Linked DNA regions of Rattus norvegicus. The protein of the gene in region 7 interacts with the protein of the main gene of each other region in a pairwise test. Links are inferred from orthologs where the notes say so. Each region holds a gene or a part of one and is shown on either strand. Other genes may lie near its edges.

Region 1 (4,115 bases), on a different chromosome or scaffold from region 7:
CATCCCCTTCCATGAAGGGTGAACAGGCAGCTTCTTGGCTTTTACTACATTTTGTTGCCTTCTAGTGCACTTTCTTGCGGCTGCTGTTCTGTGTAGGGAGTGCCTGGGTTCCTTGCATGTAATCCCACGCATAATTGTGAACACTAAAAAACATTCAAAAGCTTGGAAATGCAGTATGCCAATGGTCATAAAAATGTTTATCAAAATCCACTGCAATTGTTAAGACTTTAAAAAATTACTTTGAACCCAAACTATCCAAACTCCCGTTCACAGGTGATTTAGATCATGGAGTTCTGTTGTTGATCAAATACTGTTCCTGATAAAAATTCCCTGGAAAATTATTTTCCACTAACAATTTTTGAGGCCTTAGGTTATCTTTAAGATAAGCTTCGTGGAACTTTTAATTTCACATACATTCCTTTTCACTGCATCCTGAGCTATATCGTCCCCAGAATACATGTCCAAATTCCTTAGTTTGTAAAGAAGCGAAAAGCATTCCCTGGCTTACTAAAGTCCCCCACCCCGTGACAGACATGTGACAAAAGTTAAAACTTCCTGATGAGTTATGCTTATTTTACTAGATTAAAAATGTATTGGTGTTTTTGACAAAATTATACAAACATTACAAAACAGGAAGGAATTGGGTTCCCCCTCCCCCATGTAATTTTAGGGATCAAATCACAAACTAAATGAAGCAATCACTAAAACCCCACAGCAGGAATTTCCACTCTTCAGTGTGTAATTATATTGCATTTGCAGAAGTGACTGTCCTTTCTGGAACTTTCATATTTCGCATGATCTGTACTTCACACATTTTCCCTCTGTCTGGGGGCACGGTGGCATGGTGTACACGTTTTTTCCGTTGTTGTTGCTGTTTGCTTGTTTTTGCTTTTTAAATGTTCTTCACAACTCTTTTTAACTCAATTCTAAGGGTGAATCCACCAGTCCCCTTAAATCGGAGGCTGACAGCTCAAGACTGACAGGGCCCCTGAAACACCGGGTACTCCCCTGTTGCGCTTGCAGGATTTCTGCAGGCAATCAACTTTTTAAGAGCGTCCTCGAGTCCACATCCACGATCGCTAAAATCCTGCTCCGGGTTTTCGCGCAGCCCGCGTGATTGACACATGATATCACCGGGGGCGGGTCCCGGCGTGGAGGTGGAGGTGGCGGCGACGCTGAAATGCTGCGGAGCCCGCGCGCGAGTGCTCAGCACGCAGGGGTTTGCGGCGGCCCCGCAGCCAGAGCTCTGCGGGCTGAGGAGCTGCTGTGGGCGGCGTGCATGTGCCGGGAAGGCCGGCCCCAGGCTCTGCACTAGGTAAGAGCCTTCCCCTCCCGCCGAGGACCTGGCGAGATCAGGTGAGAATGGTGCTTTATTTTATTTTATTTTCTTGGAACTGGACGTTTTCTGAGCTGGCTCTAGCTCTGTGCCCGGCGCTCTACGGTCGGCCCTGAAGCGAGTTCCGTAGCCGGGCAGCGAGTTCCGTGTGTGCGAACGCGGGCTGGCACCGCCGCGCACCCGCGTGTCTGTGCGCATTGTTGGCGACCGACCCGCCGGGCGCTCGTGCCAGACCTGACTTTCCCCGTCCCTGCGTGCGGGCTTGCCTCTCGCAGACGCGTCGTTGGGACGCGCTTTTGACTGCGGGGCGTTCCGTGGGGGCAAAACGTGCACGGCCGCGTGTGTCCGGAGCTCGTGGCTGTCTACCACGGCGAGCAGGACAGCGTCCCGGGCTGGCGAGGGACTCACGTGTTTCTGTCTCTGCTCGTCTGCAGCCGGCGTGGCGACTGCGGGGACGCGGACCTGCGGGAACCCGAGAGCCCGGGACGACGCCGGGCCGCGCGCCTGACGACCGGGACGGGACGGTGCTGTGGAGCGGGCGCCGCGCGCACCCGGCGGATGTCCCCGAGCCGCCCTCGGCCGCCGCCAACCGCGGAGAAGCGCCCCTGCCCGGGGGCCGCTGAGGCCGCAGCGCGGGCCATGCGCGCCCGGCCGCCCCGCCGCGCTTGATGCGGCGCGCGCTTCGCCCGCTCCGCGCCCCCGGCCGGCGCCGTGGAGGCCGAGGTGAGTGCGGGCGGCAGGTGCGGGCCGGGGCGGGCCGGGCGGTCCTGGCGGTCTTCGCGCAGCCCGTGCCAAGCGCGCGGCACCCGATGGCGCTGGGGATCCAGCGCCCGCCTGTGCTCGGAGCGCAGTGCCGCGGGACGCGGGGAGAGGGCGCTGCCTCCTCCCGCCCGCGAGCTGTTTTCATTCATAACTTTCCCCCGCCGGACCTGCCGCGGCTGGGTGCCCCTGAGGTCTCGGCTTGGGGCCCAAGCGCCGGGCGGTGCTACCCACAGTGCTGTCCGCGCGCGCGCTCCGGCTTAGCTCTGGGCGGTTGCGGGGCGCCTAAGTGCTCCGCCTGAGCGAACTTGCTTGGGAATGCCCTGTAAAAATGCGAATGAAAGCTGTGCCTAGGGGTTTCATAGCTCAAACAAGCCGTTCCCACGTCTTCCTTTCTTGTGGATGAGGCTTGGCACATTTAAAGTCTTCGTTATGGAGTTTTAAATTTTTAAAAAATAGATAAGGCACAGAACGATGGGCAGGTTTCCGGTATCGTTTAGGAGTTCGGCACTAAAACTTGCTATGGATGTGTTTCTCGTGTGCAGAGAAGGTAGTTATAAGCTAGAGGGGCCTCCAAAAAGCTAACACATTTGTAGTCTAGGGGCATTTGTTAGTAAAGTGACTTATTCCTTAAGACTTTTTGTTTTGTTTTTGTTTTCCTTTGGATACCAGGAAAGTGCAGAGGGTTCCTTCTTGAATTAAGGTGCATCAATCTATCTGTAAGTTCGGAAGGCATTTGTGTGAAAAATATTCCAGAAACCTATCGCCCAGAAACGGAAAGAATTTGGTCTTTTTTTAGGAAGAATACGTTATAAGTAGGGAGTTATTTCTTCTTGACATGGAAACGTGTTTGTTGTATCAGTGTATCAGTATTTATTTTACTACAAAAAGCCGGTCTGTTCAGGGCTTATGAAAATCAAGGCCTGTCATGCAGGTAAATGAAAGGAAATACATATATTGTAAAAAAGACCAGGGTTCCTCTCCCCGCTTTAAAGGGCTGACACTGTGCATAACTTACCCTTGTTGTGTGGCGGGTGAGCCTTTAACGCCACACCGTAAGGGTTGCGTACGTGTGCCAGAGCATTCCTCGTTCTTTGTAGCTTCTTTTGCCCATCTCACAGATGTGTGTGGTGAGCTAGCCTCAGACCCTGACTTCTGCTGAAAGTGACCTTTGGAGATTCCGAGTGAGCTTGGAGCAGCCAGTGTTTTGGAAATTGGCCTTGATTAATTTTCTCATTAATCTGAAGCTCGTAACAGCATATAAACGGCCAAGAGGCCACAGCACTAAAACCATTCTTAATCTTCTAAAAAGTAGCTGACATTTTCCCTACGTGAACTGCCAGTGAACTGATCGTGAACTCTGAGAACAGTTCCAGAGCGCACACTGAGTGCTGCCTTCGAAGGCATATTTCATCTTAATTATTTGTTAGGTTTGCAAACAGGAAGACATGACTTCCTCTGCTTTTCAGAAGCTGGAGAGCAACTTCTAATTTTTAAGGCATGAGGTCTTTGCTTTCTTCCTGTGATACGGTCCTCTACAATCTTTTCTGGGAGTTGGACTCTGGCCAGGATTCTGCATCATTGGAATCAGCCGACGAAGGAGATCTTTACCATGTGGCTTGGGAAATTTGTTTCTTGACAGAAGCCCTTTCCCCCTCCCCCCCCAAAAAAACCGCTTTCTGCCGCTTATTTTCTCTTTCACTCTTCTTTAGGATTTCAGATGCATGGCAGATTTCCGCTGACTGCTGGAATTGGAGATCACTCCACATGGATTCCCCAAGTCAGCATGACAGCCACACTTCACTAGTGGTGATTCAGCCACCGGCTGTGGAAGGCCGGCAGAGGTTAGACTATGACAGGGACACCCAGCCTGCCACGATTCTGTCCCTAGACCAGATCAAAGCCATCAGAGGCAGCAATGAATACACAGAGGGACCTTCGGTAGCGAGAAGACCGGCTCCTCGAACTGCACCAAGACCCGAAAAGCAGGAAAGGACTCATGAAATCATACCAGCCAATG
Region 2 (3,500 bases), on a different chromosome or scaffold from region 7:
GAAGTTCTAGCCTAACTTAAGATCTCTTCCACCGATGTCATTATCTCTAGGACCCTAGTTTCTGCCCCAAGGCACCATTAAGCTGAAGGGTACTTCATGCCAATCCACTCTCCTGGGTTAGTGGAGCACACAGGGCTTTCCCAGCTCCTGGCGTCTTACTCTGTGTCACAGTGCCGTCTCTTACTGCCTTCATTCCTGTTGCTGGGATGGAATATTCTGACAAATGCGACTTGAGGGAGAAAGGGCTTGTTTTTGCTCACAGTTCAAAATACAGTCTGTTATGGTCAGGAAGTCAAGTTAGCAGGACTTTGATGAAACTATCGAATCACAACCATAGTAAGAGAGGGGAGGGTGAATGCAAACATTTTTACATTGTCCAGCACCTATGGCTGAAGAACAACCCCACCCATAATCAAATTAGTTTCCCCACATCAATTGTCATAATAAAGATATTCCTCCCTCCCCTCTATACCCTTGGCCAGAGTCCCCTGTCCCAGATGGTTCTAGATCCTGTATAGGTGACAGTGGGAAGCAACCATCACGCTTACCCAATGGCCTCCTGCTCCGCACCCTCAGAATTTCTTCCTCGTCTCTGCCAAGACACTGGAGATTGACTGACATAGAATCCAGTGCAGCTGCTCAATCTCTCAAGATGGAGGAAAGAGATTCATGACAAAAATATGGCTTGGCTTAAGGGGAAGGCTGGTGCAGAAGTCTGCATTGACTTCTGGTGTATTCTACCTTCTTAGCTATTAATAAGGAGAAAGTAAATGAAAAAAACTGAACAGAATACAGCAAAATTCAAAATGGCTCTTGACTTTCTTAAAGGTAACACAATAATATGTCAAATATCAAAGCATATCCAGTCTTGAAACCATAAAGGTACAACTATGAAAAAGAATTTAAATAATTAGGTTACATATCATGGAGTCAGAGTGGATAGTAATATCTGTGTGAAGATTCTGATTTATTTTATGATTTATTTAAAAGTTAGTATAGACTTACCAACTTTCACACTCCACCACCATTTAAAAGTGTTATTCCTCTCTGTGTGTCTTTTGAATAATCCCACAAGGTCGGCAGTGAAAACCCCATGAGACATGGTTCTCCTGCGAAAGAGATGCTTTTCTTTGGCTTTTGCAATTGCCTTGACAAAGTGTGTTACATTACAGCCTCACTGTCAGGAATGAAGAAAGAGGAGACTCTTCGGGGAGACCCCCACACACCACCAAAATGGAGAGCATCCAGGTCCTAGAGGAATGGTGAGTGTTGGGGCAGGGAGAGTCAGTTCTGTGTTTAAAAGCCACGTACGTCCACCCAGTTCCCGAGCACCATCTCTCTGTGGTCCTCTCACAAATGGTTCTGTGAAATGAAAAGAGACTCAGCCTGAAAGGTCTCTTCTGTGATTGCAATGATTTCTCACTGGGTCTCCAAGCTGGCACATTGTCTCAGATGATCTTTCTCTGTTAGTAAAGACAATTGCATGAATTATCACAGACAAGCCTTAATTTTACTCTTGTTGGCTGAAAGTACTTCTTACTCATTGATCTTTTTAGCCGGTATACAGGTCTGTGTACCATGTTCATGCTCAGTTGACAGGGAAGCCTGAGTGGGACTTGAATACCCTGGAACTGGAGTTACACAGTAGTTGTTCACAGCCATTTGGGTACTGAGCATTGTACCTGGGTCCTCTGGAAGAGCAGTCTGTGTGCTCTTAACTGCTGAGCTATTCTTCCATCCCCACGGGAAATATTTTTAAAATTCATCTTCATTTTATAAGAGAAGGATCTGAACACCGCACATACACACACACACACACACACACACACACACACACACACAAACACACACGTACAAGTACACATGCACAGGTATACACTCTCTGGATGACCAAAATCAACCACTAAAAATACCCAGCTCACCAGATCCTGGTTTTGTAACCATCTGAACATACTTCATCAAAGTCTTTCTAAAATGAGAAGTTGAAAAGCAATTTTTAGAAGATAAAATTTAATTGTGAGTTGGTGGCTCACATCACTATAAATCTATAAATGCCTCCTTTTTTGCTTTTTATTGAAATTTTAATATTTGAATATGAGTCTCATTGTGATGTTAAACATTTGGACATTTAATTTTATTGAGAGAAAGTGTGTGTGTGTGTGTGTGTGTGTGTGTGTGTGTGCGTGTGTGCATCAGATGGATGTGTGTATGGATATACGTGTGGTCATGCTCTCCCATGTGTGTATTGTGGATCTTAGAGGGAAACACTAAGTGTCCATCTCTATCACTCTCTACCAATTTTTAAAGCAGGGTCTCTCGTTGAACCTGGAGCTCAAGGTTTTTGCTAACCCTACTGGTTTGTGAGTCCCCAGCGTCTGCCTCTCTCTCCTCTTTCCCCCAAACACTGGGGCACATCATCTTACCTGGCTTTTTACATGGGTGCTGGGAATTCGAACTCGGGTTCTCATGCTTAGAAAGCACTTTACCCACTGAACTGTCTCCCCAACCCCAAACCTAATATCATAAATGAATAAAGAGGTTTAGACATCATGGGACAGCGACAAATCTATTTAAAATCCTTGGTCAAAAAATTAAGAAAATTAAAACATAGTGCCCCTCCTAACCTAATATATATTTGAGACAAAAGCCAAGATTCTGTTAAAGATTTCTGTTAGAAAATAAAAATCTCCAAGACCTGTGCCTCTCCTCCTTTGGTGTGAGGACAAATGGACTGGTGACTGGTGATCTTGGCAATAGAGTAGTGATCTTTATTATATGTTGTCCAGAAAAATCCTTCTTGCTGTTCCAAAAGTCCTCTACCTTTCAAGGAATACTTTGAGCATTGGGGGGTGTTTTGTGCTCAATGAACAAAGTATATCCTTGTTTTAGGAATGGCTACTGGAGATGAAAAACCCTCTTATGGTTGGACAATGCAAATGAGGGAGAAAAAAAGGGGGTTCACAGTGTTCCCATCCATTTACAAGAAATTGCTAAGACACATCACCACTTGCAGAATTCATTAGGAGTGTCTGACAGCCATGGGCATGTGGGATGCACCCCCTTACAGTTCTAACCCTCAGCTCCCTTCCTTGCTTCTCGCACCCACTGGATCAATTTGTCAAGGCTCAAATCAAGCCAGGCGGAATGGCAAAATCCTGACCAGTAGAGGGCAGCACAAGACTACAAATTTGAAACCATCAGCTGCTTCTGCCAGCAGACGGGTCAATGTTGTTCCTAATGGCTTCATTCTGTCTCTGCAGCCAAAACCCCACTGCAGATGAAGTCTTGTCCTGGTCTCAGAATTTTGACAAGATGATGAAGGCTCCTGCAGGAAGAAACCTTTTCCGAGAGTTCCTCCGAACAGAATACAGCGAGGAGAACCTACTCTTCTGGCTGGCCTGTGAAGACTTAAAGAAGGAGCAGAACAAGAAAGCTGTTGAAGAAAAGGCCAGGATGATATACGAGGATTACATTTCTATACTGTCACCGAAAGAGGTAAG
Region 3 (4,207 bases), on a different chromosome or scaffold from region 7:
CTGGTACAACCATTCTGGAAATCAGTCTGGAGGTTCCTCAGAAAATTGGACATTGAACTGCCTGAGGATCCAGGTATAACTCTCTTGGGCATATACCCAAAAGATGCCTCAACATATAAAAGAGACACGTGCTCCACTATGTTCATCGCAGCCTTATTTATAATAGCCAGAAACTGGAAAGAACCCAGATGCCCTTCAACAGAGGAATGGATACAGAAAATGTGGTACATCTACACAATGGAATATTACTCAGCTATCAAAAACAACGAGTTTATGAGATTCGTAGGCAAATGGTTGGAACTGGAAAATATGATCCTGAGTGAGCTAACCCAACCACAGAAAGACATACATGGTATGCACTCATTGATAAGTGGCTATTAGCCCAAATGCTTGAATTACCCTAGATCCCTAGAACAAACGAAACTCAAGACGGATGATCAAAATGTGAATGCTTCACTCCTTCTTTAAATGAGGAAAAAGAATACCCTTGGCAGGGAAGGGAGAGGCAAAGATTAAAACAGAGACTGAAGGGACACCCATTCAGAGCCTGCCCCACATGTGGCCCATACATATACAGCTACCCAATTAGACAAGATGGATGAAGCAAAGAAGTGCAGACTGACAGGAGCCGGATGTAGATTGCTCCTGAGAGACACAGCCAGAATACAGCAAATACAGAGGCGAATGCCAGCAGCAAACCACTGAACTGAGAATAGGTCCCCCGTTGAAGGAATCAGAGAAAGAACTGGAAGAGCTTGAAGGGGCTCGAGACCCCATATGTACAACAATGTCAAGCAACCAGAGCTTCCAGGGACTAAGCCACTACCTAAAGACTATACATGGACTGACCCTGGACTCTGACCCCATAGGTAGCAATGAATATCCTAGTAAGAGCACCAGTGGAAGGGGAAGCCCTGGGTCCTGCTAAGACTGAACCCCCAGTGAACTAGACTACGGGGGAAGGCGGCAATGGGGGGAGGGTTGGGAGGGGAACACCCATAAGGAAGGGGAGGGGGGAGGGGGATGTTTGCCCGGAAACCGGGAAAGGGAATAACACTCGAAATGTATATAAGAAATACTCAAGTTAATAAAAAAAAAAGAATAATGTCCAATTTTTAGCTTGTAGAAATCTCTTTTGATTATTATTCGCTTTTAGATATTTGCTAATAAAGATCTCCTAGTAGGTGGGTTATTAAAGAGAAAAAGACACAAAACTGGAGCTGGGTGTGGATCTGGGAGGAGTTAAGGGAGGCACTGATAATTAAAATATTCAAAATGCATAAGGATCTCCTAATCATGACATCTTTCCTTTTAATTTCAATTTGGTGACTTAATGCTTAACTGGTTGCGGCACACATTTTTAACTACAGTACCTGGGAGACTAAGACAGTAGGATTTTGAGTTTGAGGCCAGTTTTAGCGACACAACGAAACTCTTATCTGAGAACTTCGAGAATGAGCTGCTGATCAGATAAAGTCCTGTACTTAGTTGGCGACAATAATTGGAGTGTCAGATTCACGATGTACTCACATATATCAGAAAATTAAAGTTATTTCCACAGAAAAAAAGACTCACAATAAACTTATTTTTCATTTTCTTTTAACCCTTCCTCTGCTCATACCGATTAGTTGAAATACCACCACAGGGCAGGTCTAGAGAATTAAGTGCAGAGTTCCATATAATGATCATTTTCAGGATGTAGGCCACGGCTCAGGAACAACTGTGACTTCCAGCGCTGACTCACTTGGACAGGTTTTCTGTGGTCTGCTTTTGCATCATTTAGTTCTGAACTCTGATAATTATTTTTTTAACATGGACACGAGCCCATTCCTCTCCATACTGTAACCTTTTATTAACAGTTGTGCTTTATTAATAGTTAAGAGAATTTGCCATCTCACACTGTACATTCTGCCAAGAAACATACAACCCCGGATAGGAGAAATGATCAATGTCAGAAACTCACACTTGGGAAGCTCACTTTAGGAAGCTACACATTTAACATCTTTAATGTTCATGTTCCTATAGAAGCTTCTCATTATTTTGTAATAATATTTTTAGAAAGAAGTCTAATTTTCTTTCACAATTTCTATCAGAGAAAAACATTCAAGAACTAGTAGCAACAGCTAAAGAAGCTAAATTTCCTGCTTAAGAAAAAAAAAAGTATCACCTAAAAAACAAACAGCCAAAACTCTGTGGACGTAGCTCAGTGATTGAGCGCCCGCTCAGTGTGCCTGAGGCCAAGGCTTCAGTCTCAAGCACAAAAGCATAGCAAATAAACGAACAACCACAAAAAACAAAAACACAGCAACAACAAAAAAAGCAATGGTGAAAGAGAGCTGTTTAGGGTGGAGAAAACTGGACACCAGGTAGTTTTCAAATTTTTAGGTTTTCTGTAAATTATTCCAAAAGTATTCTTGATAAATCACCCATAGTCTACTGCGATAAAACTGGCTACTGGCATTATATTCTTCAGGGGTTAACCTTTACCCGGCCAAAGACAGTGGGGATTGTGAGATCATCTTACCTTGACACCAGTCACAGCCTGAGAGACCCCTTTATTTTCTGGGTCTTGGGGAATACTGGAATTGGAATCTTTCTCTGCTCTGATCAGGGGCAGCAACTGTGCCTGCTCAGCCTGCCCGGAAAGATGCTCCTCCAGGTAGCCTTGGTTTCCTTGGGGAAGGCTGGGCATGTTTTCCTAACAAATGCCCTACCGGAGTCTTGTCATCCGGTTTTACCAACATCCAGGTATCGTCTCTGTTCTTTGGCTGGCTAATGCTGGCCCATGTCTGAGTCTGCTGGGACCTTCTTGCAATGTTATTCTAAGCAAAGTAAAAGGCTGATCCCTTCTCTGGATCAGTAGTGGCTTATCTACCTATTTTAGCATTCCGTTCCAGATAGAGCTGCCCACTGAGTGTGTATGCCAAGACTGCCCTCTGTAGGTGAGTAAGAAAGTTTCTTCTTTATAAGTCACTGCTGTAATGCTCAGTGTCTCGAGTTAGAACAAGCTGCCCCTATGACAAATGGATGCGTTGTGAAAACCATCTGAGGGGACCTTTGAGGCAGCCCCCATCTGTTCATAGTACTGTTCTGATTTTCCCCATGCCTTTGTGCCTTTATGAAAGCAAAGCCCCCCAGAGTTCCGTGGAAGCAATGCTGCTGCTCTTCCGTGGCGTGTCAGCCGCTATTCCGTGCTTTGTCGGTATAGGGAGGGAACTGCTTGGTGGCTTTGTCCACAGGGAGGAAAGCACTAAAGGTTTAGACTAGGAAGCAGCTAAGCTCGAATGGCTGACTGTGGATATTGCTGGAGAACGGCAGGCAACGAATTGACTGTACCTGCCTGTGTCCAAAGAACCTGGCTGAATAGCAGTCAGTCCTGAACAATAATTAGCTCTTCACTCCTGGCCATGTTACAGTATCAGCCACGTGTAGGATGAGTCTTCCCGTTTCAGTTAGCCCAATTTAGAATGTCTCTCTCTCAGACATGCCAAGGGGTTCATCTACATGATTCTAAATGGTGTCAGAGAGAGGATGTTACCATCGTACAGCTTTCGTGTACTATCCTTGCCCGCAACTCTGAGCCACTCAGTCCTTTCCTCGCAAACTGCGTGTTCTTCATGTCCTGCTCTTCTCGCTTTCCGCTGCTGTAGACTTAAAGGCGCGCGGCGAACAGTAACTCAGATTTTGCTTAAACAGACAATATTATATATACATGCTTTTTATGTGATAGTCATATAACAGGCAAGGCTTGAATTCAAACTGAGTTATGAAAGAAACTTCACGTGGGTGGCGCACAGGAACATTTGGAAATATAAGAACATCTCTTTCAATCTCACCCTCTTTCATATTCAACCCACAGGCCATAACTGCTAAGTTATTAATGGAAGTTGTAGGAAGAAAGGATTTCCATATTTGGTTTTTCAGGTGTTGGCTTCAAATCTCCATCCTCTCCTCAGATAGTTTTGACATCTTATGATTGAAGGGACCCTTGTACTGTGGGTGCTCCCCTCAGCACCCTAGGTTAGGCACAGACCATACACAAACACCAATTTCGAAGCATAAAAACAAATGCAAAGAGATCCTTTATAAAGCATGGCTAAGAGCAGCTGAATCCAAGTCACATAGAAACAGCAGCAAATAACTACAGGTTTTGATTATAACAGGGAAAGGGGGAGGTCTGTGTTAGACTGAGCTAGGACATGTTGGT
Region 4 (4,047 bases), on a different chromosome or scaffold from region 7:
GTCCAGGCACGCCGGAGCCCCGGGACCCTCTTCCACGCCCTATGCTCCTGCACTCACCACGCAGGACCTTGAGCCGTCGCGCTCCAAAATACAGTCTGCTTTCTCATGGCACGGGCTGGGTGACCCGTCGGGGCAGAAGTGTTGCCCACGCCGCTGGCAGCCTGACCTCTGGTCGCCCACGAAGCCGGGCTGGCAGGGACCGCACTGGAAGGAGCCCTGTGCGCAGGCGCGAGCCGTCAGCGGGCCACCCACTCACGCCTTGATGGGGTCAACCTCACGGTCCCTTCCTTACCCGGGTGTTGACGCACACGGAGTTGGGAACGCAATTGTGCTGCCCGGTCTCACACTCATTAATATCTGTGCAAACCTGGGGGACGGAGACCACAGGCAGACAAAACACGTTTCACACGGGTCACGCCTCTTTGTAACCTGCGCCCGCCCCCCCTCCAAGAACTTTCTCACTAGAACGAGTTTTCTGGACAAAATGCCTTTCATTCCCTCCTGCCGTAAATGTAGGGTCCCTTGCTTCCCTTACTTGTTTGTTGGTCTTGGCGAAGGTCAGCCCCACACCCTCGTGGGTGGGCCCGCTGAACCCAGGGGGACAGGCTTCGCAGTGAAAGCCAGGGCTGGTATTGATGCACCGCACGCGCGGGAAACAGGGGTGAGCGTTGCACTGTGAGAAAGGAGCACACAGGATTAGGAGCCCAAAGCTGGACAGAGAGAACCCGGACCTTGGGGCTTCCTGGATGTGGCAAGGGGTTTGTTTTGTTGGAGGCAGGATCTCACTGCATAGCTCTCCCTGCTCTGGAACACACCATGTATACCAGGCTGGCCTCGAACTCAAAGGGATTGGCAAGCCTCTGCATTTCAGGGCGCTTAAGAGCCATCAGCCAGCTCTTGAAGTACGGTGCCACACGGGATAAAGAACCCGAGGGTCGCTGACGACTTTGCCTTCATGGGCATGGAGTTGTGACCTCTTAGGGATGAGAAAATGAACTTGGGGGGCGGGCATCCCCAGCCGAGGGAGGAAGTGGCCGCCTGGACCTGCAAGCACGGCAGCGATCACCCCGTCGAGGGCGACTCTCCAAAGCAGACACGTGGTCCGGGCGAGCAAGCCCCAGTGGTGAGGGGAAGGGCTGGAGAGAGCCACCCCCGGCGTCCAAAGGGTCGTTGGAGTGGGCGTCGATATGGGCAAAAGGCGTGGTCAGAGCGTGCGTCTGATATAGTGATGGAGTTGAGCTGGGTGGGGCCCCCCTGCTAGACGTGAGGTCTTCTGGGTTGGAGTCCCGGGCTGCGAGGGGCTGCTCCAGGAGAATACCCTCAGTGGATGAGGGGGACGTCGTCTGGATGGAGGGAATTTGTGGTGGGGTCGGCCCGGGTAGGAACAGGACGGCGGGGGTGTGGGGAGCCCGCGCACCTCATTAACGTCGGTGCAGTGCGAGCCGTTGCCGGTGTAGCCCGGAGGGCAGGGGCCGCAGCGCGCGCCGGTAGCTGTCTCCGTGCAGACTACGCCAGGGAAGCAGGAGCCGGGTGCGCAGAGCGGCACTGGCCGCACGCTCAGACCGGGGGTGCGTGCGGGCTGCATTCCTGCAGAGCCACAGAAGTTAGGGCACGCCCAGGATAGGAGCCATCCTGGGCTCCGCCCGGAGGAGGTGCCTGTCCGGCCCCGCCCACAAGATGAGCTTCTCCCGCCCAGGGTGGGGCCGTTCGGGACCACGCCCCCAAGGGGCTCGAATTAGCCCACGCTGGGACTGGGTATGTTCGCGCGTGCGCCCTGCGGCTGTGCGAGCCTCCAGCCTTGTAGCTGATCTCCGCGCATCTCCCCGCGTCCAGTCCGCTGGGTCGCCGTCCACTTTCGCCCCCGCCAGCCTCCTTTCCCAGCCCTTTTCCTCCTTTCCACTCTGTGCCCCCACCCTTCCTCCGCCCCTGGGTCCGGGCTGTGCTCACCGCAAGCGTCACATTCCATCACCGTATTCTTCAGGAAGGTGATCTCCTTGACCTGCCCGGCAAGAAGTCAGCGGGACCCTTTCCCAAGCCCCTCTCCTCGGTCCCCCTCCTCTTTCCACGACCCCCTTCCTCGGAAGCCCGGTGCCCATAACCACCTCCTTTAAATCTGCCTTTGTACAAGCGCGTTCCGGAGCCCCTGTCTCCCTGTCTCTGACCAGGTTCATCCAGTCCGGCATCCTGTCCCTAGCCGTTTCCATCCGCTCTGTCTCGCGCCCTGTCAGCTCAGCTCTTGCGCTGTTTTCCTCTGTCCTTTTCTGTCCCTTCTGTTCCCTTCTCGTCACCGCGATGTTCCCCTGCACCTGTTCTGACCCGGCGCTGTCTCCCTCTCTGTTCTCTACTGTCCTCAGCCCCCTCTGTGTGCCCTGTCCCTGTTCTGTCTCATCGCTGCTGTCTGCCTCTCTGTTTCCTTACCTGCTGTCGCAAGAGCTCTCTCACGTCTTGCAGCGCCGCATTAGTCTCCTGGAGTTCTCGAAGCATCTGTGGGGCTAGGTCTCCACCTGCGTCCACAGGGGCCAGTGATGGGCGACCCAACCACTCCATCACCCCTCCCGCCTCCTCTAGGGCCATCCAAGCTCCACCCGCCGATTCATTTTTCAGGAACCCCGGACATTCCTGGAGAGCGGACCCCAAGCTCCGAGGAGCAGGAATCATGAGCCTTGAGGGAACTGAGGGGCCTTCTGTCCACCCATGCCCCTCACTAAGCGGCTTTACCCAGCGGGATCTGGCCCTGGCCGGTAGCCCGCAAGGCAGCCAGGGCGAGCACTAGAACGCAGGCAGTGGGGCTCATGTCGACGGAGCTGCAGCTGCTGTCTGAGCCCTCAAGCCCGCGGCCTATTTATCCCCGCGCTGGGTCCGGGACAGCCCCCGCGGCCCTGCCCAGAGCCCGCCGCAAGGTAAACAGGCCAGGCTCTGCATTCAGGGCCGCGCCCCATGGCCCTGCGGGATGACCCGCGGCTGATCAGTACCTGGTGGGGTCTGAGGAGAGAAAGAGTCATGAGCCTTGGAGAGTCAAGTGGGGTTCTCCAACACTCTGGTTCACCATTGAGTGCCTGCTGTATGCAATACAATCTCCGTCCGCCCCCTCAGATAACATTGGGGAAACAAAGTCACAAGTAATCAAAAGGTCTCCCACTCTGGCCCCCACACCCCCTTCTGCAAAAGGGGTCTATGGGTGTGGCTCAGTCCGGGTCAGCAGGAGGTTGTGAGGGATGAGGGTGTTAAGCCTTGAATTCCTCCGCACCCCCACCCCCACCTCCAAACAAACAATCCTCAGTAAATGATGTCTGTGCCTCAATTTCCCCTTTTGCACAGTTGAGTAAACAGTAGCGGTGCTGGGGATGGGTGGAGGAGGGAACCTCAGCTTCCCTGGGTTCTCTTCTCACTGGGCTGCGCTGAACTTGGCTTCTCAGCCACTGGGGAGACAGCCTGTCATAAAAAGAACTGAAAATTTTCCTTTCCCGAGCCAGCCCCACTCTGAGCTGTAAAACACCTCAGCCTCCAGGAGTTTTAACCCTCTCCACCTGGCCTTTCAGGACTCACAGCTTACAGTCTGTAGAGAGAGAAGCTGGGGCTCGGGGGAGGGGGACTGGCCCACTTGGGGCCACTGCAACCCAGGAAGATCCCTTGTTCCAAGAAGAAATCATGGAGGGCTGCCTGGAGGAGACAGATAGTACAAGAAACAAAGAGAATAAAGGCCTTAGATCAGTCATGGAAAGCAGTGAGGTGGCTCCAGTTGGGGGGCGGGGTGCGTGTTGGAGGGTGTGTGTGTAGATGTCTGGTACACCCATGTTTTACACAAACAAATGTGCCTGTTGTGGGTCACATCCCCTGCTAGGTAGCTAGCTGCTGGGGGACAGACACTGGAAGGAAGCAGTTACCAGGCTCTGTCAAACGCAGCCGAGGTGGGTGTGGAAATGGCTACACTAGGACCCAGAGGCAGCAGGGCTATAGTGGAAACTGCTCAATTGTCCTCAGTAGGAAAGAGGCTGGGCTGCAGGATAGACCTCAGGTGTGCTGTCAAGATCTTGGGGCTAGCAGAAA
Region 5 (3,500 bases), on a different chromosome or scaffold from region 7:
TCTCCCCGTATCAACTTTGATCATTCTAAAGACAGCTCCAACATTGACCAACTTGAAGAAATATTTGTTTTGTTTTGTTTGTTTGTTGTTTGTTGTGTTTGTTTGTTTGTTTGTTTTGGCAAGCCTTGTGATATGTTGATAAGCATTTCACACCATGAATCTTGAACAGATACTGTCACTATATTCATAAATGAAATGCCATTTCTATTTTGTAGGTTAGGGTCTTGCTGTGTGGCTGAGGCTGGCCTTGTGAATCCATGATCCTCCTGCCTTCTATTCGAAAATGCTTAGATTGCAAGTGTCTATGCCAGCACACTTCGTCTCTAAGCTCAATTTTTTTACTGCTTTTCTTTTCATTTGAGTTGGACATTAATCATGCCCTTTCTGTTAGCACATTAACTTCTAGGATCCTTATTGCTCAAAACAGGTGATTCCATAGTATCATGAATAGCAAATGGTACGGCAAATGCTCTTTGGATGAATATGTTATTGTAAAGGATATTTCACATTATAACATCCTCAATGACGTACCAACAGCATTATAAGTACGTTTTATGCATCTTTAAATATTGGTTACTTGTTCCAGGTGAGGAAGTTGGGAACAAGTAAGGATGACAGGATTTGGCTAGTGTTTGCTTAGATGTTCAGTTCATATGGAGACCTACAACATTAATGGAAAGTATTTAATTCCTCCATCTGAGAAATGATTTAAAGTTGAATTTTAATTATAAAATATAAGGAAAGACTCAGAAAAATTTAGAACCTGGAGTAAATACCTATGTATTTGATAATAAATACCTATGTATTTGTAATGGAGAAGAACTCTTTATTCAACTCAAACATTCCCATTGTCCTAGGCCTAGTGATTTCATTAAATATTTTTTAAGCATCTCTTTACAAGGGAACTACTTATTACAATGGCTACTTTATAGTCTTACTATTGTGGGTCAGAACTTACATCTCACTGAAGAATTTGGGCTTCAAATCCAGCTGTTTCTGACCTTGACATAAAAGTCTTTTGGGACATTGAATAGATTTAATTGCAAGAAAGCAGTATAAAGAAAAGGTTAAACAAATGGATGACTTTGGGGGGGAGGTAACAAACTTCCTTGGTCTTAGTTCTACCTTCTAACAAATTTGTCTTAGATAATATCTACAAATTTCTGTGGCCATGTGTTTATCACAAGATAAAGCAGAGTTAAAATATATATTCTTAATAATCCTTTGGCAGAAATAGGTACAAGTGCTTTGCTATTCAGGGATGTTACATGAAGAATTATGCTATGTTTGGGGCTATAACTAGAAGCACAAGAATAATTAATGTCTTGTTCATATGTATTGTGTTGTCTGAGATGGTAACACTGATACCTTTTAACGTTTGTATTTATTACTAAGTACATGCGTGCTGACCTGCATGTATGTCAGTGTACCGCATATATGCTTGGTACCTGAAGAGGCCAGAAGAGGGTATCCATTGGATACTCTGAGATTGGAGATACAGATGGTGACCTGCCATGTAGGTGCTGGGAAACAAACCCAGGTCCTCTGGAAGAGCAGCTAGTGCTGCTAACCACTGAAGAATCTCCCTAGGTCTCAAAGTTATATTTTTGTTTAAGTAAATCTAGTATATAGAGGGGGAAAACTATAGCATTTTAAGGGTAAGTTAAAAAATTCATAAATCAGACCACCTATTGTTTTATATATTAAATGCTGATTGCCAAATTTTATCTGTCAAAAACTATCTCATGTGATCTTGGTTTGAGTTAAATGTTCTTTCCAGAAAATTTCTACTCAATATATATGTGCACATTAGATAGGGATGGCCACAGATTTTGTTCATGGCTCTACAAACTATAATGTGTTGAATATTTTAGTTACTCTCACTACCCAGAAGTGAATAGAGCTTATGCCAAAGTATACACAATATTTTAGAGACCATATTGTCATTAGTCACTATAAGATAGCATGCTCTTAACTGCCATTTGGTGTCAGGGTAGTTTGACTTTTACTTAATAACTACACAACACAATTTTACAATATACAAAAGAAAAATCTCTAGAATAAAACTTATATCTAACAAAGTTGATTTAGTCATTTAAGCCCCTTTTCCTTATAGGCAATAGAACGTAGTACAAAAGGCTGGGCATTCCCGTGTAAACCAGAACAAGCTTGAACTCATGGCCCAGAATGGAATGAATATAATCAAACAACCACACACCACACTCCCTAACGATGACACTTCAAGCCTTCCTGCCACATGCTCACTTCTACCACCAGCTTAGTATGTAGAAAGAGTAGTTAGTTCAGGTTGAAAACCTGAACATTCTTTTTCAAATTTAAACAAGCACACTTAGGACCAGCTGTAACTTTTTTTTTAAACCTGTAATGCTATAAACCCTATGTCACAGAACTTTGATATAATAAGACCCTTTCATATTAAGCTTTCAGCATGAAAGATACTTCAAGACACAAACTGTCACTACAATTAACTAAGATATTCTTGGTAGATTAATTCGTGCTCTTAGGACTCATATGGCTTGTAGGACATTCTAATTAAAATAGGCCATCAGATAAAAGAGAACTCCAGAAGAAATAAAAGCAAACTCCATGTTGTTTTAAAATGAGACATGAAGGATGAAAGGAAAACTAAGTGTCATGTAATTGAAAGGTTGACTTTTCTCTTTTTGAAGGCCATGACAAAAATTCAGTTCTCTTTGAAGTCCTGTGAATAAAACATCCGGCGAGCAGAGCTGAACCCTGCTCTATAACAAGTAGGCCCAGTGCACTTTCTTGATATAGAGATCACAGCTCTGAGTGCTTTTCTGTAGCATACACATGTCTACACAGCAAACAAATATGTCAAGACCATTGGTAGATGGCTCAAAATACAGACTCATAAGCCAGAAAACTAACAATATGAAAATTAATTTAATAGATGCATCCTCCAAACCAGCACTCTCTAAAAACATATTTTGTAAAAACACAGAAAGAACGGTTTTCAGCATTAAAAATGAGAAGATATTAAACACTTCTGAAAAAAAAAACATTACTGTGGAGTATTGACCAATGAATTAACAGGACTTCCTGTCAAACACTGACTCTACAGAGTTGTAGAATTTTATGTTTTCTAGGTTTTCTTTTAATATAATCTGCTAAGCATGTTATAGTAAAAATTAGAATTCAATAGATATGGAGGGTAACTCATACCTTAAATTCCTCCAAGATTTTGTAATTTTTCCCATGATATTCACAAAAGTTTTTCACTTCTTTACATTCAGGACAGCATCCATTGTGTTCCACTTTTGTACATTTCGGATGAATTTTAGGGCATTCCGGCTGGTCACAGACAGGTCCATCTAGGGCACAGACACACGGACAGTTGGAATGCCCTGGGAAAAACCGTTCTCCCAACTTGTAAACAAAGCCGCTGTCATCCACACACCCTTTCCCTCGATAGTCATCAAAGATCAGATTGTCATTACTGGAAGCCTGGTCACCTT
Region 6 (4,189 bases), on a different chromosome or scaffold from region 7:
GTCCCACCAGAGGCTGCAGAAGTAGGCCTGTGTACCATAGGAGCAGAAGGGAAAAAATGGATCGGGGAAGGCACTGCAGTGACCCATCTCCCCCAGCAGGGCTGGGTGCTGAATCAGGACAGCCAGTCGCCCACCTGGCCATCAGCCTGGAATGTCCTGGGACACAGCCAGAACTCAGGTGGGGACTGCAGAGCCAGGGGCCCTCTCCAGTTACAGGACAGGGCCCCACCCCTTGCCACTCATGCTACATTCTAGCCAGGGTACGGTGGTGACAGGCTTCCTAGAGAATTGGAGCATGCAAGAAGAGGCATCGGACTTTTCAGTCTAACAGGTTTTCTTTAGTGTCCATGGGAGGATTAGACCCGCCCTTCATGTCAGGTGGGCATGAGGCAGAGGGGGAGACTCCTGTGGAACCCTGCAAGAGAAGCCAGAGCCAGAGGAGTTACCACGGAGACATTCAGTAAATACCATGCACATGAGGGTGACATTCTTTCAAGTGACAGCTACGGCATTCCAAAGGCTGCTGTCAAGGGCTTGGGCTGAGAACCCCCAGGCCGTTGACCCTTGTTTTAGGAAGGTTGTTCCATCCTTTCCAAGGCCCCATCATCCACCTCCTTCCCTTGACTCCTGGGACAGGAAGTTGGCCCTATTCCCAGGAGGGAAGCAGGAGGCCCTAGAGGGGGGTGGAGTATGTGTTGGGAGGGGGCCTCCTGTCCAGTCCTTGGGTCCAGTGACAGCCACAGAGGAAGGAGAGACCCGCCAGAAGAGCCATGAAGGTAGTGCTCAGCTTTCGATGGGTGGGTGGGGTCCCCGGTAGAGCCTCAGGTGCAGGGTCTGGGAACTGAGCCTGGAACTGTGGGTTGTATCTGGGGGGGGAGTAGCTGCTGAGGTCTTCAGGAGGAGCCTCCAATGCTCTGGGTTACAGCAAGTGGACCACTCCTGCAAGCGGTTAGCCCTCCTGGCTGGAACTTGGCGTAGAGGAGAGTACTCCAAGATCCTTTTCTGTCTGACAGGGAAGTTAACCTTCATCCCTAAGTTTCTTTCACCCTGAGGATATGGAGTGCTGGGCTATCAGGGGTACTGGTTCCCAGCAACACTCCCTTCCCACAGGAAGTCCCAAGGGACCATGAGGGTTCAGGCTAGAGACTGGCTGGGGACACAGTGTTCTCCACTGGCCCTTGAGCCCTGCCCTGAGACCTGAATTCCCACCCTGCGCCACTGGCTGATTCCAGGGCTGGATCTCAGGACCACAGACCCCTGCATGCGGTGGCCCACTGGGTGGGAGGCAGCACCAGAGCTCGGGAGAGCCAAAGATCTTAGGCTGACACTCCCAGCAGGGTAGATCCTGGGAATCTGATCTCCTGGCCTCCCCCACATCCTCCCCCACCCCACTTCCTGGAGCAGCGACCTGCCCCCTTCCCGCCTGCACTTCCCTCCACTTCCAGGGCCAGGCTTCTCCACACACCAGCCAGACAGCCTCCCCTCCACCCAAGGGAAGCGGCTGCCTCGGCCAGGCTGCTTCCAGGAAGCCCCGGGCCAGGCCCCAGCATTGTTCAGGCCCAGCAACCAAGAGCCCAGCCAGCCAGACACCATGAAGTCCAGCGGCCCTGTGGAAAGGTTGCTCAGAGCCCTGGGGAGGAGGGACAGCAGCCGGGCCACCAGCAGGGTAGGAATGCCCACCAGCTGGGCAAAGGTGGGACAGGGTGGAAGTTCGGACAAGGCAGGAGGGCCAGGATTCAGGCCAGACCCTCTTCCTAGTTTCAGCCTCTTCTCCCACCCCTTCCCCTGCCTCAGCACCCCCTCCTCTTTCCCCTGGCTCCCCATGTGGCTAGGGTAGCAGTGTGATATACCATCTGTCTTGCTTCTTCTAAGTGTTTACTGGCTTGAGCCTGAATAGGCCCCGAGGGTTCAGCTAAGAGCTGAAGCCCTGACCTCCCGGGAAAGGTAGGGGAAGAAAGCAATGAAAGGCAGGGAGTTTGCCTTCTACTGATGTAATCTGCACATGACATCATCCACAAGTGTGTCCAAGTGTCCTGGTGGGTCTCACCTCCAGTCCAGAGGAGTTCTAGGACAGTTACCGGACCAAAGCTGCTCCCATGTTGTTGTCCAACCTTGTCTAACCCCCCTTCCCCGTTCTTTTCCTCTCCACACTGTGGTGGGCAGATCCAGGGAGAGGAGGGAACAGCAGGAGCTTGAACACAGGGATGAAGACCTGTGCAGAAGCGGCCCCCCCCCCTCTGTGGCATGAGGGAGATTGTCCACAGACACTGGAGGACAGGAGAGATGAATTGGGGTGGGAGGGGTCAGAGTAGCAGAGAGAACTTTTAGTGAGTGAGGACTGAGGGGGACCTGGACAACCTGTGGCATCCCAGCCAGTCACTGACCTCACTACCTGGGGCGGGGGGTGGGGGGTGGCTCGGGCATCCAGAGAACCTGGCCGCCCCTGTCATAACATGCAGAGGCAGTGAGACAGCTGCTGCACATCTGTCCCTGCCGCCATTCTTCCTTCCAGCATTGCCACCCGAGTCTTAGACAATTGCAGCCTGCCATCTCCATGCACAAGGAGTAAACATGTTGTTCTGACTGTGGGGGAGGGGGCCGAATCAGCTGCCGGGAGCTTAGAGCCCTTGAGAGTCAGGGGCTCAGGACTGGCTGCAGTCAGTCTGGGTGTTATGGGACAGCGCTTGTGTGTCTGGGCCGGCCTGTCAGCTCACAGAATATGAGCCTCATGTGGGGAGGGCAAGAGGAGAGGAGAGTCAGACCCCCTCACTCAGCGAGATTCTCAGAAAGCCCTCGCATTTGAAGTGGGGGTGACAAGGACATCACATAGCTCCTCCACGTGAGGAGGCCTGAGTAAACCCTCAGGGAGGAGTTAACCCAACCAAGGTGACGCAAGGGGTCACATTCCAAGCCCTGTAGAGGACAGGCCTCATGACTACCCTGGAACAGCTGTGGCCAAGTGTGCCTTAGAGTTCAGAGACTTTTGGCTGGAAGAGAGGGATGCAGTCGCTCTAAGGAAAGGTCCCTGCCCAGCCTTGGAGATGGGCCCACTAGGAACTCATAACCCTATTTGTCTGTCATCCCTCTCGCAGCCTAGGAAAGCAGAACCGCACAGCTTCCGGGAGAAGGTTTTCCGGAAGAAGGCTCCAGTGTGTGCAGTGTGTAAGGTGACCATCGATGGGACCGGTGTCTCGTGCCGAGGTGAGGGGCTCTTGCTGTTCTTATGGTGTTGAGCCCTCCAGTAAGCACTTCTGTGCTGTGTGACTCTAGCTCTAGAGACCGGCAAATTCAGAAACAAATGCCCTCAGTCCCCTTGACACCCACCTTGCCACCGCCCAGGAGATTTGTGACCACCTTCCCATCCTTTTGTGACTAGGGGCTTCCCTTCCTCCTCCTCTTCCTCTTCCTCCTCCTCCTGTTCCTCTTCTTCCTCCTCACCTCTATTCATCTTAGACGCCAACCTCTGGCCCTCTTCCCTGCTGATAACCAGCTCTGTTCTTCGACTCCAGTGACCCAGTGTACTAGGGTCCCAGGGTTGGCTTCCAAGGCCTGGAGGACTAGAGGACAGCTACTTTGACTGTTCCCATAGCCTCTGCTAACCTCTATCCTCCCCTTCCTTTCTCTAGTCTGCAAGGTGGCCACACACAGAAAATGTGAAGCAAAGGTGGGTATCCAGTCCTAGCTAATGGGGGACGGTGTCTTTCCCTGCCCAAACAGGTTTCTTCAGCCACACTGGCATCGTCTTCCACCCAGTCCCCTGTCACTCCTGGAGACCCCTTCCTGGGTGGCAGAGGTGTTGTGTTGGGCTCTTTAAGAACCACCCTACTCCACCCCTGGAGGGTTGGCCCAGGAGGGTGGACAGTGAGACAGCGTTTGTCTTGGTGCTGTGCCCGGGCTGCAGCTGGCGAGAGGATGGGGGGGGGGGTGAGTTGTGGGGGAGGAAGGGCGGGGTGGATAGAGAGGGAGCAGGATTTCAGAGACCAGGCACCCGGATGGGCCGTGCCTTCCCTCTGAGGAAGGGTCCTCAGGATGCCTGAGTTGGTCTTATCCTGGGTGGTGATGGCTGAGCCTGTTTGGGTATACCCTGTAGGTGGTACCCACTGTCCACTGAGACCCTGAGGCAGCCCCCCATCTCTGAGGAACGTTCCTGGTCCTCCATCAGTGCAGGGGATAGTCCCAGGGCCTCAAG
Region 7 (4,065 bases):
CTCTTTAACTAGGGAGAAAGAACTGCTTCTCAGGGAAACTAGACCTAAGGAAAATTTGGCTGTTGGGGCCTAGCGAAAGCCCAGATTCCGCATGAAATATTGGAACGAGGGAAGGAATTTTTTGTAAAAAAAAAAAAATTAGAAAAAGCAACCGAGGGAAATAAATTGAGGGAGGGGTGCGGGGAGAACATGCCCTCCTTAGCAAGCGGACACAAGAGGACCCAGGTCGCAGACTCCACAGAGCAAAAGTTGTAGGCTGCAGTTTCTAAGCTCTCTGAGCAGACCTTGGCTCCAGATCTGCCTGTAACAGATCTAGGCAACAGGCAGCGTGCTAATCACCCTCCTGGGTCTGTCGGGGGACAGCGTGGGCTCAAACTTTAGGGGATGGAACCCCCAATATTTCCAGAGGCTTGGGGGGTAGGGACAGAGGGCCACTGCTCACCAGGGTAGCCCACGGAAGGGTGCAGGAGGTCCATGGCAGGGCCAGCTAGGCCCAGCCCGTTCATGCCGTATGGGGGTTGTTTGAGGTAAGACATCATGCTAACAGCCGGGTGGAGGCGCCCCGACGGATCCAGGGGGCCTGAGGCCAGGAGCAGTTCAGGGCTCCCACTGCGACGTCCTTCAAGCTGTTGCTTCTTGGGGCCTGGCCTAGGGAGACAGGAGACACATGGAAACCTTCACCCGTAGTCAGTTTGGCTTTCAGCTCCTATAATCCTTGAATGGGGAGGGGGCGCATGCTAGGAACTGCACAGCAGGCAACCCGAGAGAAATGTCTCCTCCTTTAGCTCGGCAGCCACACAGCTTCTCAAGAAAGTAAACTTTCCCCGCTTCGTTCCTTCCTCTTTTAGGGCTTGACAAGGGCCAAAGACACTCCTCGAGTGTCAACAGGAAGGAAAGTTAAAGCGTGATCAGGCTGAGGAGGTGAGAGCCGAGACCGCGAAGGGTGCAAAATCCCAAGTGTAGTCAAATTTTTTTAGTGCGGCGGAAGCAATTTGCTCAAGCAAATGTTCATTTGGCGCCGAGAGGGCAGGCCGCACAGAGAGATACGGGGTTATTTCGTTTAGTTTGAAATGTTTTTTTTTTTTTTTTTGAAAGAGGGACAAAATGGCAAAGCAATACAGAGGCCCAAGGTGGGTACACCTCGGATCCCCGAGGCTCACTGGCCATGTCATTTCTTCAAAGATCTTCAGGGCTGCCTCCTACCCAGAGCCTGCAATCACCTTTCTAGCTGACCTCTCTGGGTCCCTGACGCCAAGAGAGATGAACATGAATCCCACCGCACCTCCAGGGCAGATGCGGCCCAGGCCAGGATAAGGCGGCAACAAGACTCCAAAGGAGCCACGGTAGAAGTGGCAGTTTCAGGACGCCGCTCAAGGTCAGGGGTACCTCCAAGACGGTCACCCCTCTTCCTTTGCTGGCGCAGGCCGGGCCTTCCTTCTACCAAGTCTGCTGAGCACACCGCGTCCCACCGGGGTTTGATAAAAGATGATCAACCCAGTGCCCCAAACATGCTAGGGATTTCGGAAGGCCGAGCGTTGCAGGTCGCCTCTCTCCCGCCGTCCTCTCTGAACCCGATGGAGAGCAAGGAACTAGGCCTCAGGTTGTAAAACTCACTCACAGCCAACCTGGGAGCGCGAGGCTCGGCGCAGACACTGCGAGCCCACACAGCTCTCCCCCAGCAAAAAAAAGGGGGGGTGGTGGCTTCTGGGGGTTACGACTGGGACCGCCGTGGGGAGGGGGGCTCGTAGCTACTTCCCGCTCTGCCAGGACCCAAGGGTGGGAGATTCTGGGGAGAAAGGAAGGTAGGACTAAAGCAGCTCCCCCTTCACAACTCCTTCCCCCACGCTTCAGTCCTAGGGGACCCGAAGCCTGGACTGAGGGGGCCCAGTGAGCATGGGAGGCGAAGGGAAGGGAAGGACCCGAGGCGCTTGGGCGGAAGGGCCACAGGCCCGCAGCCGCCGCGGCTCTGTCCGGCTGCGGCGTGAGTTTTCGAGTACTTTCGTCTAACTTAGCACCCCGGCTCCGCAGCTTCGGAGGAGGCGGGGGAGGGGGCGGCCGGCTCCCGCGCGGCTTGGGGTCCCTCGGGCTGCCTAGGGGCGCCTGGTCTCTCACCCCAGCCCCGCCCACCTGCAGGGGACCGCGGTAGCGAGGGTGGATTCCAGGAGGGGGAGGCGAGAGGGGCCACCATCGTCCCGGGTGGCGCGCGGCCCCGCGACTCCCTCCTTACCTGCCCTCGGCTGCCGCGGCTCTTCACCATCTACCTCGCGCCCTCACCGAGACCCGCGGGCAGCCAACCTGCAAAACGGAGGCGCACAGGTGTTACCCCGGCGGCGGGGCTAGGACCCCAGGTTTTCCTCTTCCCCAACTTCCCTCTTCCCGTCTCCTGCATTTTTTTTTCCCAGTAGCTCTGTGCGTGTCCCTCCGGGTTTCACTTTATTGCACAAACACTTTGTTTGCAAAGTCCCACATGCTTTTCCTCCCAAGACCCGGCCTCGCCCGGGACCCGGGGGGTGGGGTGGGTGGGTGGGGGTGTTCGAGGGACAGAGTTAGGAGGTGGCTTGAGGTGGCAGCTGCACTCTCGGTGCAACCCGGAGGCGGTAGGGATTGGAGAAATCCTGCATAGTCACTTGGCAAACTAAATAAATCAAGCAATTTACCTTGTCGGAGTGGCTTGTCTTGCTCGGTTGTTTAGGTGATTGGAAATGTAGCCTGATGAAGATTGATCACCTTTCTACTGCCCTCCCCGAGTATGTGAACGCGAGGCGAGTGCGTAACGGGGCCCGGCCGCCAATAGGGGGCCTAGAGCGGACTGAGTGACAGGAAGCCGGGCAATGGCAGCGCGAGCCGGGGTTACCTCCGCGCGCCCCCGCCCTCCCTCGCTCCCACCCCCTCCCTCCCCGCGCGCCGGCCCCGCCCCGGTCGCGCGCTAACTCCGGAGCTCGGGTGGCAAATTCCGCTCAGAAGGAGTCGAGGAGGGTGAAGGCAGCGCTGGAGTCGCAGGCGCAGAGGGGGCCCCGGGTCCCAAGGCTCGCCCGAGGGCCCCCACCCTCCCCTCGCCCGGGCCGCGCTCCGGAGGAGTGGCGTCAAGCTGCTGGATAACCGGTTCCTGCTCGCGCGCGCGCGCCGCCGGGCTCTGCCGCCGCTCTGTGGGCGCCAGGCTTCCCGGGCCGCGGATTCGGGGCGTGCTGGCCCCTGGCACTCCTAGCTGCGCCCTGGGCCCCAGTGCTTCCTCCGTTCCCCACAACCTGCGGCCACCGCGGGCGGCTCGTGCGGGCTCGGGCTGCTGAGCCGGAGCCTGGGATGGGGTGCAGCTCTCGGCGCTCAGGGCGCCCCGGGGCGCCCTGGGACTCTGGCGCCCAGAAAGAGCGCCGGCTGGGGAGACGCCGCCACTTCCCAGCTGCTCAGCGTCTCCAGGGGCTCTCAGGCAGTCCCCACCAAAGGTGTTCGCACGTCCTAAAAGCTTGCTTCTTCGGAACCGTTGGAACTCAGATCTTACACACACACACACACACACACACACACACACACACACACACACACACACACACACACACACACACACACACACACTGAATGGGTTTGATAGAAAACTTTCTTTTTCACACTCTCCACTCTCTCAGTCTCTCCAGGTCTGCACCTACAAAGGACAGTCCGGTGGGAAATGTGGCCACACACTCCGATCCCCCTCACTTCATTTTCTACACATTCCTGGAGGAGCCTCCTCGAAATAATTTCCCCGGATTGTTCGTACTGGCGGACCCCAGGTTCCAGCCGAATAAACTTGCCGAGATCGTCTACCTGTGTGTACTTTCCAAAGCGAGAGGAAAGAATATTTTCGGCCCAACCCCGAACAAGGCAATTCTTTCTTTCTTTCTTTCTTTCTTTCTTTCTTTCTTTCTTTCTTTCTTTCTTTCTTTCTTTCTTTCTTTTTTTTTTTTTAAAGCATGGCATCTCCTACTGACTACTAGGGACCACATTCACACCCTTTCCTAGTCCTTTCTCCTCATCTTCTGCCACTTTCACCCCAACAGGCGGGTGAAAAGTTTGAACCACAGTGTGTGCGTG

What was found.
Region 1: the proteins of Otx1 (region 7) and Spry1 interact in binary tests that used the Homo sapiens proteins (3 or more experiments, as listed by UniProt). The two-hybrid records come from large-scale screens. The link is inferred for Rattus norvegicus from reciprocal best matches to the Homo sapiens genes OTX1 and SPRY1.
Region 2: the proteins of Otx1 (region 7) and Rgs17 interact in binary tests that used the Homo sapiens proteins (3 or more experiments, as listed by UniProt). The two-hybrid records come from large-scale screens. The link is inferred for Rattus norvegicus from reciprocal best matches to the Homo sapiens genes OTX1 and RGS17.
Region 3: the proteins of Otx1 (region 7) and Rgs20 interact in binary tests that used the Homo sapiens proteins (3 or more experiments, as listed by UniProt). The two-hybrid records come from large-scale screens. The link is inferred for Rattus norvegicus from reciprocal best matches to the Homo sapiens genes OTX1 and RGS20.
Region 4: the proteins of Otx1 (region 7) and Comp interact in binary tests that used the Homo sapiens proteins (3 or more experiments, as listed by UniProt). The two-hybrid records come from large-scale screens. The link is inferred for Rattus norvegicus from reciprocal best matches to the Homo sapiens genes OTX1 and COMP.
Region 5: the proteins of Otx1 (region 7) and Vwc2l interact in binary tests that used the Homo sapiens proteins (3 or more experiments, as listed by UniProt). The two-hybrid records come from large-scale screens. The link is inferred for Rattus norvegicus from reciprocal best matches to the Homo sapiens genes OTX1 and VWC2L.
Region 6: the proteins of Otx1 (region 7) and Tns2 interact in binary tests that used the Homo sapiens proteins (3 or more experiments, as listed by UniProt). The two-hybrid records come from large-scale screens. The link is inferred for Rattus norvegicus from reciprocal best matches to the Homo sapiens genes OTX1 and TNS2.

What each region holds. Positions count from the first base shown.
Region 1 is NC_086020.1:122,484,144-122,488,258, forward strand, and holds the start of Spry1 (protein sprouty homolog 1), read left to right. Parts: upstream 1-1,315; 5' UTR 1,316-1,356; intron 1,357-1,770; 5' UTR 1,771-2,059; intron 2,060-3,807; coding exon of another isoform or gene 3,808-3,862; coding exon 3,863-4,115. UniProt on the Homo sapiens protein: Inhibits fibroblast growth factor (FGF)-induced retinal lens fiber differentiation, probably by inhibiting FGF-mediated phosphorylation of ERK1/2. Inhibits TGFB-induced epithelial-to-mesenchymal transition in lens epithelial cells.
Region 2 is NC_086019.1:44,649,946-44,653,445, reverse strand, and holds part of Rgs17 (regulator of G-protein signaling 17), read left to right. Parts: intron 1-1,172; coding exon 1,173-1,262; intron 1,263-3,260; coding exon 3,261-3,495; intron 3,496-3,500. UniProt on the Homo sapiens protein: Regulates G protein-coupled receptor signaling cascades, including signaling via muscarinic acetylcholine receptor CHRM2 and dopamine receptor DRD2.
Region 3 is NC_086023.1:19,280,842-19,285,048, reverse strand, and holds the start of Rgs20 (regulator of G-protein signaling 20), read right to left. Parts: upstream 2,801-4,207; 5' UTR 2,693-2,800; coding exon 2,525-2,692; intron 1-2,524. UniProt on the Homo sapiens protein: Inhibits signal transduction by increasing the GTPase activity of G protein alpha subunits thereby driving them into their inactive GDP-bound form.
Region 4 is NC_086034.1:19,086,749-19,090,795, forward strand, and holds the start of Comp (cartilage oligomeric matrix protein precursor), read right to left. Parts: upstream 2,801-4,047; 5' UTR 2,795-2,800; coding exon 2,719-2,794; intron 2,505-2,718; coding exon 2,419-2,504; intron 2,000-2,418; coding exon 1,948-1,999; intron 1,588-1,947; coding exon 1,418-1,587; exon of another isoform or gene 888-1,417; coding exon of another isoform or gene 816-887; intron 674-815; coding exon 536-673; intron 368-535; coding exon 293-367; intron 217-292; coding exon 58-216; intron 1-57. UniProt on the Homo sapiens protein: Plays a role in the structural integrity of cartilage via its interaction with other extracellular matrix proteins such as the collagens and fibronectin.
Region 5 is NC_086027.1:79,705,954-79,709,453, reverse strand, and holds part of Vwc2l (von Willebrand factor C domain-containing protein 2-like isoform 1 precursor), read right to left. Parts: coding exon 3,208-3,500; intron 1-3,207.
Region 6 is NC_086025.1:135,111,170-135,115,358, forward strand, and holds the start of Tns2 (tensin-2), read left to right. Parts: upstream 1-1,389; 5' UTR 1,390-1,591; coding exon 1,592-1,666; intron 1,667-3,092; coding exon 3,093-3,201; intron 3,202-3,626; coding exon 3,627-3,664; intron 3,665-4,189. UniProt on the Homo sapiens protein: Tyrosine-protein phosphatase which regulates cell motility, proliferation and muscle-response to insulin. Phosphatase activity is mediated by binding to phosphatidylinositol-3,4,5-triphosphate (PtdIns(3,4,5)P3) via the SH2 domain.
Region 7 is NC_086032.1:100,287,622-100,291,686, forward strand, and holds the start of Otx1 (homeobox protein OTX1), read right to left. Parts: upstream 2,801-4,065; 5' UTR 2,658-2,800; intron 2,349-2,657; coding exon of another isoform or gene 2,029-2,348; intron 1,982-2,028; coding exon of another isoform or gene 1,894-1,981; intron 1,566-1,893; exon of another isoform or gene 1,283-1,565; intron 649-1,282; 5' UTR 540-648; coding exon 443-539; intron 1-442. Other genes in the region: collagen alpha-1(III) chain-like, read left to right, coding at 1,894-1,981, 2,029-2,348, 3,206-3,440, 3,621-3,855, 4,032-4,065. UniProt on the Homo sapiens protein: Probably plays a role in the development of the brain and the sense organs. Can bind to the BCD target sequence (BTS): 5'-TCTAATCCC-3'.